Linked DNA regions of Cricetulus griseus. The main gene of each other region encodes a partner of the protein of the gene in region 2 in a complex. Links are inferred from orthologs where the notes say so. Each region holds a gene or a part of one and is shown on either strand. Other genes may lie near its edges. The genes, in order: Vps52 and Vps54.

The links.
Region 1: Vps54 (region 2) and Vps52 share a complex: the UniProt entries of both Homo sapiens proteins name them as parts of the golgi-associated retrograde protein (GARP) complex. The link is inferred for Cricetulus griseus from reciprocal best matches to the Homo sapiens genes VPS54 and VPS52.

The regions. Positions count from the first base shown.
Region 1 is NW_023276806.1:232,053,873-232,057,691, forward strand, and holds part of Vps52 (vacuolar protein sorting-associated protein 52 homolog), read right to left. Parts: intron 3,030-3,819; coding exon 2,962-3,029; intron 2,744-2,961; coding exon 2,568-2,743; intron 2,141-2,567; coding exon 1,990-2,140; intron 1,602-1,989; exon of another isoform or gene 1,498-1,601; intron 1,220-1,497; coding exon 1,119-1,219; intron 1,038-1,118; coding exon 905-1,037; intron 785-904; coding exon 727-784; intron 1-726. UniProt on the Homo sapiens protein: Acts as a component of the GARP complex that is involved in retrograde transport from early and late endosomes to the trans-Golgi network (TGN).
Region 2 is NW_023276807.1:85,248,128-85,251,946, forward strand, and holds part of Vps54 (vacuolar protein sorting-associated protein 54), read right to left. Parts: intron 3,625-3,819; coding exon 3,528-3,624; intron 2,339-3,527; coding exon 2,001-2,338; intron 1-2,000. UniProt on the Homo sapiens protein: Acts as a component of the GARP complex that is involved in retrograde transport from early and late endosomes to the trans-Golgi network (TGN).

The DNA.
Region 1 (3,819 bases), on a different chromosome or scaffold from region 2:
GTGGAGCCTGACTTGAGGGAGGTGGAGCCTGACTTGAGGGAGGTGGAGCCTGACTTGAGGGAGGTGGAGCCTGACTTGAGGGAGGTGGAGCCTGATTTGAGGGAGGTGGAGCCTGACTTGAGGGAGGTGGAGCTTGACTTGAGAGGGGTGGAGCCTGACTTGAGGGAGGTGGAGCCTGACTTGAGGGAGGTGGAGCCTGACTTGAGGGAGGTGAACCTGACTTGAGGGAGGTGGAGCCTGACTTGAGGGAGGTGGAGCCTGAATTAGGGAGGTGGAGCCTGACTTGAGGGAGGTGGAGCCTGACTTGAGGGAGGTGGAGCCTGACATGAGGGAGGTGGAGCCTGACTTGAGGGAGGTGGAGCCTGACTTGAGGGAGGTGGAGCCTGACTTGAGGGAGGTGGAGCCTGACTTGAGGGAGGTGGAGCCTGACTTGAGGGAGGTGGAGCCTGACTTGAGGGAGGTGGAGTCTGACTTGAGGGAGGTGGAGTCTGACTTGAGGGAGGTGGAGCCTGACTTGAGGGAGGTGGAGCCTGACTTGAGGGAGGTGGAGCCTGACTTGAGGGAGGTGGAGCCTGACTTGAGGGAGGTGGAGCCTGACTTGAGGGAGGTGGAGCCTGACTTGAGGGAGGTGGAGCCTGACTTGAGGGAGGTGGAGCCTGACTTGAGGGAGGTGGAGCCTGACTTGAGGGAGGTGAGCCTGACGCGAGGCTCCCTGGTCCAGGATATCTTTCTTTGCTGTGTCTTCCACACCCATCAGATCGTCCTTCTCAGCAACTTCCTCGTACTAGAGAAAACAACAGAGAGCTCAACCATGGCTGCCCACCACCAGCAGGTGAGGAACTCAGTCCCTCCTCCAAGCCCCTGCCTACAGACACCTGTCCCCGCCTGTCCCTGCCTGGCTCACCTGCACTTTCATGAGCCGCCCCAGATAGGAGCGGAAGTAAGACAGGTAGATCTTGCTCAGCGTCTCCACGTACTCATCCCTGATCTCCTTGGCTGTTGCTCGCTCGTTGCCCAACAGGAACTGATAGAAGAACCTGGAAGGGCCAGGGCGAGTCAGACCCTGGACATCCATGCTGGGCCGTTAAGAAGCTCACAGGCCGTCCCGGGGTGGCGACCTGTACTTCAGCAGGGCCGTCTGGGGGATCTGATAGTTGGTCATCGGCTTTCTGAATGAATAAATCTTCTGGAGGATGAACTCTCGGATCTTCGTCACCGCCTAGGTGAGGGGACAAACAGGTCATGATGTTGTGGGCTCTTACTGTGTGGAGGAAGGAGGAGACAGACGTGACGGCGAAGGGGAGGGAGAGAATACTTCCGATGTGTGCTGTGTTATTATTTATTTACTTTTGTTGAGTCGGGGTTTCTGTGTGTAGTCCAGGCTGTCCTGGAACTCACACAGGTCCATCTGCCTCTCCCTCCCCAGTGCTAGGGCTAAAATGTCTTACCACCATGCCTGGCCTCACATTTTCAGGTTATCTGTTTCTTTTTTCCCTTTTAAATATGGAATGCTTTATCAATTTTTGTGTCCTTACACAGAGGCCATGCTAATCTTCTCTGTAGTGCTCTAATTTGAGTTTCTATGCTGCCAAAGCCAGCACTGTTTGGTTTTGAGACAGAGTCTCATGTACCTCTGTACACACCGGAAGTATTCTCTCCCTCCCCTCCACGGTCCTGTCTGTCACCTCCTTCCTTCCTTCCTCACAGTAAAAGCCCACAACGCCCTGTGCCGCAGAGATCACTCTGAAGCTTCAGATCTTCTTCCTGTCATCTCATGAGTTCTAGCACAGTAGACAAGGGCCACCATGCCCATGTTTGCAGAGCTGGGGGTGGATCCCAGGGCTTCGGGCGCCCTAAGCAAGCCCACTACCCGCTGAGCCACAGCTCCAGCCTCTGTAGATTTTCAGGGAAACCAGAGGGCCAACGATGCCCCGCACTGAGGGGAGCAGAGTGAGTTCCTGGGGTTGATTCTAGCGGTCCCCTCCCCACCTTGACCCGGAGCCGGTCCAGCACGCCTCTGACGTCTGCGCAGGCCGCTGTGCCTCTGGCCTCCTGCTCTCTGACCGCAGCTGCCTTGGCGTCCAGTTCCTGCAGCTGTTCCAGAAACCTGGGCTCTGTCACTGGAGCTTCCAGAATGGCTCTGCAGAGCAGGGAGGAGAGGGGTGATCTGAAGGGGCACTCGACAGTCCTGAAACAGACGCAAGCCACACCCCTCCTGACATGTCTACCTCTCCTCAGTCTCATACCTTCATCATAGGTACGAAGATTTCAACTCCTGAGCCCCACCTCTCCACAGGCCCCGATACACATCTGACATTATAATCCATCCATTAATCTCTAGAATGCACCTTTTTTTTTTAGAAGGTCCCACTCTGTGGCCCAGGCTGGTGACTTGCAGCAATCCCCCTGCCTGACCTCCCAATCGTGTGCTTACAGGCTTGAGCCAGCACACCTGGTACCTAAACAGCACTTGACAACCTCAGCCTGGACCTATGTTGTAGACTGGATAGGTACCCCAGCTCAACCACCTGCTCTGGACATCACGACCCTTCAAACCATCGACTCACGTGACCAGAGTAGAGGGCACCACCAGCCCATCTACAAGTTCCCCAAGCTTCCCCCGAACAGCTTGTCGATTACGAAGACGGATGTTCATGGCTCCTGACTGCTCCTGAAGGGTCCGGATCTCAGAGCTGATGGAGCTCAGGTCGCTCTGAAAAGCTCCCAGCATCTGCTCCATGCGCTATGGGAAGGGCAGAAAACACTGTAGGCATGCCACAGGGTTGGCAGGGACAAGTGTGTCACCCAAGTGTCTGAGTGAATACCCCAGTATCCAACAGCTCAGGAGCATGGAAAACCTCCATTTGCCCAAGGAAACAAAAGTGCTGACAAAACAAAAAAACAAAACAAAACAAAAAAAAAAACAGAGGGTGTCAGGGGCCACAGGGGAGGGACACCTACCTCCAGGACAGCGTCGCAGGCTGTGATCTGATTGTGCAGGGACGCTATGTTTTCACTCTCTTGGATGTCTGACCCACAAAAGTCAAGGGCTTCACAGTGAACACAGAGCTCTGAGGACCAGCATCGCCTCCCCCTAGTGTCCCCAAAGGGACCGAGAGAGATGCCACCCTACCGGGTTACCTGCATCACAGCTCCCACACCCCAGGTCAGTGACAGCGCGTGTCTTCCCCTGTGCGTTGGATACAGTCCCGGGGTCCCACACCCCAGGTCAGTGACAGCGCGTGTCTTCCCCTGTGCGGAGGATACAGTCCTGGGGTCCCACACCCCAGGTCAGTGACAGCGCTCTCTTCCCCTCTGCGGAGGATACAGTCCCGGGGTCCCACAGCCCAGGTCAGTGACAGCGCGTGTCTTCCCCTGTGGGGAGGATACAGTCCCGGGGTCCCACACCCCAGGTCAGTGACAGCGCGTGTCTCCCCTCTGCGGAGGATACAGTCCCGGGGTCCCACACACCCCAGGTCAGTGACAGCGCGTGTCTCCCCTCTGCGGAGGATACAGTCCCGGGGTCCCACACCCCAGGTCAGTGACAGCGCGTGTCTTCCCCTGTGCGGAGGATACAGTCCTGGGGTCCCACACCCCAGGTCAGTGACAGCGCTCTCTTCCCCTCTGTGGAGGATACAGTCCCGGGGTCCCACAGCCCAGGTCAGTGACAGCGCGTGTCTTCCCCTGTGGGGAGGATACAGTCCCGGGGTCCCACACCCCAGGTCAGTGACAGCGCGTGTCTCCCCTCTGCGGAGGATACAGTTCCGGGGTCCCACACACCCCAGGTCAGTGACAGCGCGTGTCTCCCCTCTGCGGAGG
Region 2 (3,819 bases):
CCAACAGTTCAGTTTAGTGTCATCATAAGCCAAGTCAAGTGTCTGTGTCACTTATAACCCTTTTGTCTGAATAACACAATTATTCAGACTCTGATTTCTATTGCTTAGAAGCAACTTACTACTCTAACTGGGTTAAGATATTGATGAAAGTTATCATTTGTTGTCCCTCAAAATTATAATGCCACCACACTTAGCTATTAATGCCTTAAAATAATGCAGGGTTAATAGCATCAAAGTACTCTCAGGACACTCCTGTTCAGTTCTCATACTGAGGCAGGTAGACACCAAACCTCAGTAGTTTGTGTACCCACAGTTGCAAGAGTAAGACTAAAACCAGAATTGGTCTCTAATTCATTAAGCTTCCTCAGCAATATAAGTAAGTGTGTGTGTGTGTGTGTGTGTGTGTGTGTGTGTGTGTGTGTGTGTATGTGTGTGTGTGTGTGTGTGTATGGGGGGAGGGGTGTAAGTACACGGATGTGGTGGATGCAAATGGAGTCAGAGAGCAGCCTTTGGTTTCCTTCCTCAGCATCCATTTACCTCTGTATGAGACAGGGCCTCTCATTGGCTCAGCAAGAAGGCCAGGCTGGCTGGCTTCTGAGCCACAGGAATTTACATGTCTCTGCCTCCCCAGCTCTGGGATTTCAAGAACATGCCACCACAACCAGCTGTGTTCCCGTATAAAACTCAAGGTCCTCTTTTAACTGACTAAATTAACTCTGCATTGCTCAAAACAATTTCTAGATAAACAGTCTGGTACTAATACCAACTCCAACAAAAGAACTCACTCAAATTTAAAAGTTCAAATTTCTAATTGAAATAAGGTCTTATCTTCTGATTAGGCTGGCTTTGAACTCACAGAGATTCACCTGCTTCTGCCACCCTCCCACACCCCACTACCAGATGCTGGGATTAAAGACATGCATCACCATGCCCAGTCAAGACACAGAATTTTAATAGCAATAATTATAAATAGTAAATATAAAGATATGATCCTGAACACAGAAAAATATACTAAAATAAATATAAATAAAATATACATTTACTAACGCAGTTCAGCTATTGTTTTGGTAGGAAGGAAAAGTCTAATAAATTGACCTCAAGTAAAATGTGAGCTCCATGAGCTCTGGACCAGAAGTAGATTAATGTGTAAATGACAATACTAACAATTAAAGCATTATAGGTTTTGTTTTGTCTTTTTAGATACCAGATATTATAGGGCTACCTGGTAAACTTAAGATTGTGGTCTATGTGGGAATAATTATCTAATTAACTTAACTGCTACAGTAATTGGATTATGTAAAAGAATGTTCTGCTTTAGTAATTACACACTCTAGTATCTGGGATAAAGAGGCATCATGTCTGATTGTAGACACAAAGAAAACGGGAAAGGTAAAGAAGGAAAAAGAGGGAAACTGTACAGTTTACTGTGTGGTACTATTCAGAACTGGGGACTTTGGATGAAGGATATGTTAGTGTTTGTACTGCTATGGCAAATATTCTGTAAACCTGAAATAATTCCAAGACACATTTTTACAAATGATTTTTTTTAAAAGCAATGTGATCCACTAAGAAACTCATGCCTTTGAAAAAAATCAGACATGTAAGTCAAATACATCTTTACTATTATAAAATAAGAAAGTAGCAGAACAGAGAGACGGCAGAGAAAAATTGCCAGAACAGTATTGGACATGGGTTCCAGGAACAGTTCTGTTTACTTTACATAAATCTCCTAAGCTTCCTGGGAATCTATTACCACAGTGCTGAAATGAGGACATCCATTAAATAATTCAAGTTCCTCACCAGTCTGAAGTCCTACAATGTCTCCACTATCTCCAAGGCTCACCTCCACACCTTCTACATGTCTTCAAATTGAAGTATATTTTCATAGAATACAGTTTAGTTCCAAGACAAAAAGGTTACATTTTAAAAACTAAATTGAATTCTCAATCTTACTGAAACATTCAAAGAGTTATCATTGTCACAAAAGCAACTACACTCACATAACATCTATGCCTCCTGGTGTAGCAGATGCAGATGTCTGCTCCTTGCTGGATGAAGAATCAGTACACTCTGGTTCAGATACTGAATCACTGCTGCAGGGCTCACTATTTGGAGATGTGTTTCTCTGAGAGGTAGTATCAACTGCTGCAGGTGCTAGCTCACCCTCCCCGAAAGCATCACTTATGAACAAGCCCTCGTGGGTCAAATAAGCCACCTCTGTGTCCAAGGCATTGTCCTTTGCAGCACTCCTCTGATGTGAAATCTCCTCCAGTTCTCTAGTCCTCTGGTTTTTGTCAAGAACTGAGAGAACAACACTGTGAATGATATTCAATGTTGCCTACAAAAAGAAAACGTAGGACATGTTTTAGAACGATGCATTTAAATATCATGAACCTAAGATTAACAAAAGTTTATTATGTAGACACAATTCTGAACATCTATGATCATAAATGCATCAAAGTCCCATAACAACTGTTACAATTTTTATCAGTCTTGAATTGTACAGTAACAGTGATTTGTGAAGGCAAACAGCACAAGTGAGGCAGGTTCACTACAGCTTAGAAATCAGAGTACCTACTCTCCAACTCATTTGTTATGGAAATTTCCCTACAACACACTATACATTTCACTAACCTCTTGAACATGCTGTACCAGATATAACCTGTCTCTCAGAGAAACTTAATAGTAGTAAATATGCCTGCTTAAAGAAAAATAACTTATGTCCTTTAGTATTCCCAGGGCCTGTCCATCTCTTACATCAACATTCTCTCACTGGTTGGCTACTGTGACAGCCAGCTCCTTCTCTGTCTGAACATCCCAAGACTGTTCTCACGCAACGCTTCCTCCTTTGCAGAGAGTGCTCCTCACTGTGACCTTTGCACACTGTCCTTCCCATCACTTGGGTTCTGTCACAAACAGCAGCTTTCTCGAAGAGACCTTCCCTGACTCTCTACAACAGCTTTAGACCACTACACAGTGGTGGTTTCGTTGTGGGTTTTGTTTTGTTTTGCTTGTTGTTTAAGGATATTTATTATCATTTAAAATTATCTTTTTATTTATTTGGTCTCTTTCTGCTACATTGTTAGATCTGCCTCAATGTTAATATCCTAAACAATGGTACTTGATACAGAGGATATACTCAATAAACACTGCAAGCTAGGTGAATGAAAAATAGTTCGTATAAATTAGTATCTTTATGAACTATTAAGATATAAGGGACTTTGACATTCATGGTTGCAAATCTCATTATACACTACTTCCTCTCTCAAGCATTTGATTTCTTTTTGGGAGTGGACATGACTCTAAGGAAGCAGACTCCAAGTTCAAATCCAAAATCAGTGGACGCCAAGTGAGTCCAATCATGAAGACAGACTAAGGGAAACGAAAGAAACTAAAACCAAGGCTTAAAGACATCATTATGTACATAAAGGCTGACCTACATCCAAATACATTTCAGTTCTATGAGTTCTGTCCAGAAAGCTGATTGAATTTCAGAGCTATTATAGGCAACTGATGTGTAAGCTTACCTTAACTCTCTGTAGGAAAACTGTAAACTTAGAGAAAATATCCTTTAACAGATCAATCCACTGGGGAAAATTCAACATTCTCATTTGATCTGCAAGTCTATAAAAAAATTTAAACAAAAATAACTGTACCAATATGGTAACATCTATAAGATGAAGGGAAAGATACTAAATATTACATAAAAATAAAGTGCCATTTATCTAGAGCCCTAACTAAAACCATGGCCTCCCAAGCTAAAGAGCTTTCTTTGATAGTTGCTCTCAATAACTTCCAAAATGGAACAGATTAATACAA